2 linked regions of the Tribolium castaneum genome follow. The protein of the gene in region 2 purifies or fractionates together with the protein of the main gene of each other region. This does not show direct contact. Links are inferred from orthologs where the notes say so. Each region holds a gene or a part of one and is shown on either strand. Other genes may lie near its edges. The genes, in order: Nup43 and Tcs5.

Region 1 (4,492 bases), on a different chromosome or scaffold from region 2:
CAGGTGACATGCGTCTTAACTTTTGGGCTTGCGCAGTGGTGTAAATTTATAGATAAAGGTAAACTCCCAGTACATCCCCGAAATCCCTGTAAATCCTTAAACTTGCACACCATACATCCACAGCTGTTTACAGGTCGTAATGGTTATAAAATAATATAATCAATTTTTATGTAATGTAGAGTCACAAAATATGTATTATTACAAAAAATCATCGATAAACACTTTCTCATGTTTTTTAACAGTAGGTATAGAGAGAATTATTATTGTAAAAATAGTAAGTCCTGTTAGCCTTTTTCAATATTATGTTTTCGCCTAAGATTCCGCATCCAATACCCTTTATGCTTCGTCCTAAACTGACAAACATTATTTTCTTCCAAGCGAAATTGTGGAGATATACTAAAGTAATATTTCATGACAACAATGCAATGGGGCCAGAAAATGATTAGTCTGCAGTAAAAAAGATGTTTATTGCTCACTTCGTCTCACTTTTCAGAACAGATGTTACCATGAGCAGACATGGGGCCTAAGCTGAAGCAAGCCCAAAGAAACCCTAACTTGCGAATCATTTTCTGTCGTCAACTGCACTGTTATAAAATATTACTTTAGTCAATCTTAACTACTCTGCTTGGAAGATAATACAAAATAACTATTTAATATTATTATTGGTTTTAAAATGAGATTTGTGACATACAATAAGGGCCTTACGTTTCACCAAATTATTCTATAAAGTTAAGTGAAACATTTAAACCTGTTCTGATATGTAATGTTCTAAAAACATGTTTTTAAACAGCGTCTTGAAAATAGTCTGTGCAACAGACATTTAATGAGGTTGAAAGTATATGGTGGTGCAGTGTGTGATCTTTTAAATCGCCGGCTTTATTTTTTGCATCATATGAACATTCGCGACATTTAAATATATATTGTTTACAGTACTGAAATAACCATGTCTGTTACTAATAGCAAGTTTTAGAAACACTAATACAAAAAACGTCTCTAAATTGCAACTAACGCAAGCTGTGAATGGAATCACACATTTGATTCAAAGGCACATGTTTAATGTGTGTATAGTGTATCTTATTCAATGGTGTCCCTTTAAATGTAGAAACTGGTTCGTCTCAAAGGAATAATCACGACATTTGTGCTCCTCAAGGGGCTGCTACAACACTAAACTGGCTTAGTGTCTTCCTCAGGCAACAGCTGTTTAATCATTTTCGTCTTCGATTTTTTTATCAATCTGAAAAATTTCTAGGTTAAAAAAGTTGTAAATTGTTTTAGTTTTACTGACCTGTTCCATTTCTTGGCTTTGGGAGAGCTTATCACATACTTTATTTTGTATTTATTACTAAATTCGTCTAATTGCCTTTCATGTAGGGGGGCTTTATAAAGGCCAGTTCTGTTGTTGAAATTTCATGACTGACATCTAGTGGAAAACATTACTGTCAGTGAACAGGTTGCCATGAACGTACACCTACTTCCGTTTCTATAAAATAAACCCCCCACATAAAAAAATCTGTTTTAAATAGTTATTTTATTTTTAAACATAAACTTATTACAGTTCAGCCGTAACAATATTTTCTAAACATTAATCATGTATTCTTATAACGTACTTCTGGCTTAAAAAAATGTAGAGTCGTTAAGCAATTTGTCTTATAGATTTGATACGGAGTATACTCCACCGCACGTATAGTGGGTTGCCTGACAATTATTCAATTATGCTTTCAACGACACAGTGAGGTTATAGCGCCACTTTTTTAATTTTTATGGGCTTAATTATACACAAAATATGGCCCACAACATTCATGGAACATTTGTTTCTGAAAAAGTTAATAAAATCCGTTGGAGGCCCGATTTTATGAATGCCTCGCATTATTTTGTAACCGGCAGTTGGGACAATGACCAAAACAGCATCAAACTTTGGGATTTCCAAGAAAATGAAGAAGATGCCGAAGTTTATCCATTTCTGGTGGCTGAATTTCCACACAACGGGGACATAACTGAAGTTAAAGTATGTATATTACAATCAGTATTGCGATACGAGCCACGTAGCGAGTGAAACAATTTTTGTCATTTTTTAGTTCTTAAACGGCGATTTTTTCGTTGCTTCTTCGTCGTCGGGCTGCGTCAGTCTGCTGAAGATTACTTCCGAACATGGAATTGATCCCTTAATTGAGAGAAAAATTTACTGGGAGGGAGTTCACAAATTTCCCAATGGGGAGAATTGCCCTTGCACTGCCTTTTGCACCTACGACAACGATATTGTGAGCGTTGGCGAAGACGGTTCTATCAATTTGTTAAATGCCCAAAACCAAAACGTTATCCGCACAATTGAAAACGCCGATAGTTGCTCAATTCGTTGTGTGGCTTTTCTGAAGCATAGCGAAATTTTGACCGGTAATTTTCGTGGACAATTGAAGATTTTCGATATTCGGGCCCCTAAAAGCCAACCCGCGACCACTTTCATGTTGAGTGGGGATCAAATCTCGCCATTGTGTCTCCAAAACCACCCTACACAGAGGCATTTGGTGGTAGCTGGCGATGAAGAAGGTACCTATTTTTTTTTTATTTATGTTGGCAAACGCCAAAAATGGTGCCAACTTAAAGGTATTGGCAACTTTCTTTTAAATGATACCAAAATAGTTATTTACATTATACGTGCGGTAGGTATAATTTTACAGCGTGAAGTTTTAATAAAATTGAACGCTGTAAAATGAGTCGTCTAGTTCCAAAACCTGCCGTCTCTATTCAGTATTTTTGTTTAATGTTTAATACAAATGCTGTTGAACAAATAAATTTTAAATTACACTGATATAAAACCTCTTAGAGAGTAGAATTCGATGACCTATACTTTAATTACAATGTTTGAATTTAAAGCCTGCATTTTTTTTAAGGTTGGAGGTGGCAAGTTTTGGAACAAGTTGGAGAGGAGATGGGCGGTTATGGAACAAAATGTCTTTTAAAAATCCTTTTTTTAAGACTAGATAGTGAAATGGAATAAAAAAACTCAAACTACGTATTTGCTGAAATAACATGTGGCTAAAGTTTTAAGTCTTTTAAGGCAAACACATAACTCCAAAAAACAACGCGGAGATAGTTGATTTTGGAACGCATATATAAGATTACTTTACGTAAAGAAATGACATTGATATTTCAAACTTTAATGCAGTTGATGTTAATAACTATTTTTTGTTAGTATTTAGTCCGCCAGATAATTGTGCTAAATCCACATTATCATTAGTACGCAAAAAAATCAACGATAATGGTTCCTTTCGTCTTCAGCTTGCTGCTGTTGATGAAGTTTATGAAATAGTTATAGTGTTGACGAAAATATTTTTATTTTTGATGTTGTGTATAGTTCTGCGTAACTGGCTATGTCTATACCATAAACCAATGAAAACTTCCACAAAACCGCATCAATTATTTTGGGCATCTTCTTAGTACCTGCAAGAGGCTCATTATCTTTTAGGATTCCTTCTTGTAAACAACAATGATCAAAATAATAACTGCAATTGTGGGGTAAGTTTTTGTTGGTTTGCGGTTGACATAGCAAGTAATGTGAGAACTATAAGTATATACCCTATATATACTCAAAATTGACGCCCATGCTTTTAGGATTTGCTTCAGAAGACTAAAACAAATCGAAAGTTAAGAGTGAAAAATTGTCCAATTGTCCTTCGTTATCGAGTTATTGATAAGTATCTAAAATTTAAAATTTGTACATTAAATTTTATTAAAAGCGAATTTACCAAATTTGTTGTCACAAAGTATGCTATAATGCGATTTGGAAACTTTTCCGTGTAGGCCCTAGTCTCAGCAGTGGCATTGCCATCATACAAACATCTTACTTATAACCGAGCTTTTAACATATCGTCAAAATTTCGAATACACTAATAAAGTGGTATCTTATCATTTAACACATACAAAAACGAAGGAAATTAATAATACTCTTTACTAGACACAGTTATTCAAAGAATTTTAATATCGCTAACATCAACTAATCAATTATGTTGCACAAATAATTGGAAAGACAGCTAAAGCTTATTATTTACATTTTTATCAATAACTCTAAAACGAACAATTGGAAAATTTTTTACTCTTAACTTTCGATTTGTATTAATACCCTAAATCAAACTGCCATAGCACAGGCGTCAATTTTGAGACTTTTACTTGTTAGAACGTAATCTATTCAACATTTTTCAAACGAGCGTAAATGGTTGGCTTGGTTAAACGAAACTGATCGAAGAAATTTACATCACTAACAATTTCAAAATAATTTTTCTTTTTCTATAAATTTTTTGTCTTCGCAGTTCGGAAGAAGATAATGAATTAGAAGAAAAAATGAACACTTTCTTAATTTTGTGCAATTCAAAAAACTGACAAATTTAACGTTTGTTAAAGTTGCTTTTGTAATTTGCCGCCGTCTTTACGTCTTTACCTAATCATTATTTGACGAAATATTTTACGAAAATTTTTAGGTTGAAACGCATTTTAAAAA
Region 2 (2,994 bases):
GCTTCCAGTTAGCTACTGGAGTGTTCTACACGATCGACTTGTGGCCACGTTAAACGAGCTAGAAACGTGGAATTTTGACTGTTCTCCCTTCCGTTTGTTCGATTTCAAAGAAACCCACGCTGGGCTTTTGCATAATAATTTTAGTTATATGCTAGCTTTGGCTCATTCGGTTTGGCATCACGCTGGTCCGGGGCAGATCGCCAGTGTGCCCCGATGGGCGCGTGAGTGTTTACCGGCTGTGGTACGGTCCGAAGAACAGTTTCTCTATGTTTGTCATCTTGTGGGGCCCTTTTTGCAACGGTTTAACGTGGCAATAGTGGAATTGACGAGTGCTTTGTACGAACTGTTGGCACAAGTTGACCACGCGCACAGCGAGTTGAAATATATGGACCCGATCTGCGATCTCTTGTACCACATTAAGTACATGTTTGTGGGGGATAGCATGAAGAAGGAGTTGGAGACTGTGGTGCGCCGGTTAAGACCGCCTTTGCAAATGAGGTTGAGGTTTATCGCACATTTGGCGATTGAGGAAGTTAATGCATCGTAACTCACTTGTATTATGTTTTTACATTTACGTAAATACATTTTTATAAAAAAATAAAAAACTTAATCCGATTCACTCTCCCTTGAACTTGGAAAATCCGGTTTCGCTAAAACAGTTTGTTATTTAATTGGTAACATTTCGTCGTTACATACCTTGTTTGGCCAATTCTTGCTGTTTTTGCTCATTTTCTATATATTTGGTCTGTTCGGCAATCACCGATTGGCTGTCGCTACAATTTGAATATACCTCCAATATATTTTTATTCAGTTCGATAAATGAATGTCCCCACGAAAATTTATCTAAATACTGCCGAGCTAATTTTTTGTATCCGGTGATGTACAAAGTTGCGGCTATCGCTTCAACGCAACTTAATTGGCAAGGTCGCCCGTAATTGATGGGGTTTGCGGCCACGAGAAACGGTAATAAGCGCCCATGTTGGGGCTTGAGTGCTGCAATGGGTGTCTCGTCGATTCTGGCCCATGAGCAGTCCACCACGGCTACCCCCTTGCTTGAAACAATGTCGCGATCATTGGGACTTACGCATTTAGTGCCAGTCGGGGTTAATACCAGCCCTGGAAATTTTTGTTTGACTTTTAGGGTTTTAATTAATTTTAGACGCGATAATTTGCGGCCTGAACATTTCTTGGGGTCACATTGATTAAAATCCCACATGGCAATGGGAAAGTCGGGTACTGAAATATCATTTTAAGTCTAGTTTTTGGGGGCTGTGACGCTACCTTCTTCATCGCTGCTTTCGCTACTTGAGTCATCGGAATTATCAGTCGATGATGAATTTATTGTTGCGTTCTCAAGGCTCTCCTCGACAGAAGTCATGCTTTACTATCAAGTAAAAAATTAAAATGCGACTATTTTTTAGGTTAGATAACATAACCCATAAATGTCACGTTCAGTTGAACGTGTGAGTAGAATTTTTTGTTATTGAGTAATATTAATACAAAAAATTGGAAATTGTAATGTCTTAGAGTAATCAGTGTAATGGAACGATAAACATAATTGATCAGCTCGTAATTAACAATAAATATTTACAATTACGTAACCTCACTTTTTTGTGTCAACAGCAAGAGTGAAAACTGGAATTAGTTAAAAACTACTGCAAATGGAAGGGTTCGAATTGTTCAGACAAGGTGCCGAGGGCCGAATCTTCAAAGGAGTGTATTTGGGAAAACCCGCAATTGCCAAAGAACGATTCGTTAAGAAATACCGGCATCCGGATCTTGACTCACACTTGACCAAAGAACGGATAAAAAGTGAAAGTCGTTCAATAATTCGGTGTAAATCTGCCGGAATAAGGACCCCCGCCTTATATTTAGTTGATTTCAACCGCCGTACTATTTTTATGGAGTACTTTGAGAACAGTATCGTGGTCAAGGATTTCATAGCACAAGCAAGTAACGAAGTTATAAGTAAGTTGGCGTTAAAAATTGGGGCTGTGTTGGGCAAAATGCATGCCAATAGCATCATTCACGGGGACTTGACAACATCAAACATGCTACTTGTTAATAAAAACGGACAAAAGTCGTACAGTAACTTGCAAGATTTAGAGCTGATTTTTATTGATTTTGGATTATCTCACGTAGAGTCTAGCGCTGAAGATAAAGGGGTTGATTTGTACGTGTTGGAACGAGCCCTTATCAGTACACATAGCACAGCTAGTGAAATTTTTGACCAAGTTTTGGAGGGCTATAAATTAGAGAATAAGTCAGGGTTTAAGGAAGTTTTGGCTAAATTTAAAGAAGTGCAAGCTAGGGGCCGGAAGCGTACAATGGTTGGTTGATTCATTTATTTATAATCTTGATAGCATGCCACCTGCTACTACAATTGTTTCCCCAGTCATGTAACTGGCGTCGTCTGATGCTAAAAATGCAGCTGCGCCAGCTATTTCATGTGGCATTCCCATTCTGTAAAAATAAATTCTTTAACTGAAAAAACTCAATTCGTATTGCAATAAACCTTCCCATCGGAATCATTGATAAAACTTTCTTTTTGTCTTCCTCTTTCTCGACCAGCTATGATTCAAAATGTTATAACACAATAAAAAATGTTTTTGCCTCTTACAAAGTGCGAAAACTTGGTTTTTATTAAACCCGGGGCTATGCAATTAACGGTGATATTTTCTTTAGCTAACTGGGCTGCTGCTGTTTTAGTGAGTCCAAAGAGTGCACACTTGCTCACACAGTAAGCCCCAATCAACTTGAACAAAATTTTAGCTTAAAGTTTGAGTACCTAACTGTTTTTACATCCAAAGGCTGGAAACCACCAATGGACGAGATGAAAATAATTCGACCGCAGCTACTTTTGCGAAGTAACGGTAAAGCTTCTTTCGCTAACATGAAAGCAGCTTTCACGTTTACATCGAAAATTTTGTCCCACGCTTTTTCGTCACACTAGAATCTGGTTTTATGGCTTTGTATTAAAGTAATTGGAGCTAA

The links.
Region 1: the proteins of Tcs5 (region 2) and Nup43 purify together in Homo sapiens (affinity purification with mass spectrometry; 3 studies listed by BioGRID and IntAct, counting the BioPlex papers as one, with this or other methods). This does not show direct contact. The link is inferred for Tribolium castaneum from reciprocal best matches to the Homo sapiens genes TP53RK and NUP43.

What each region holds. Positions count from the first base shown.
Region 1 is NC_087398.1:14,041,668-14,046,159, reverse strand, and holds the start of Nup43 (nucleoporin Nup43), read left to right. Parts: upstream 1-1,681; 5' UTR 1,682-1,783; coding exon 1,784-2,005; intron 2,006-2,075; coding exon 2,076-2,544; intron 2,545-4,492. UniProt on the Homo sapiens protein: Component of the Nup107-160 subcomplex of the nuclear pore complex (NPC). The Nup107-160 subcomplex is required for the assembly of a functional NPC.
Region 2 is NC_087394.1:35,200,210-35,203,203, reverse strand, and holds Tcs5 (EKC/KEOPS complex subunit TP53RK), read left to right. Parts: upstream 1-1,661; coding exon 1,662-2,339; downstream 2,340-2,994. Other genes in the region: MED23 (mediator of RNA polymerase II transcription subunit 23), read left to right, coding at 1-547; uncharacterized protein LOC658853, read right to left, coding at 607-650, 697-1,236, 1,282-1,378.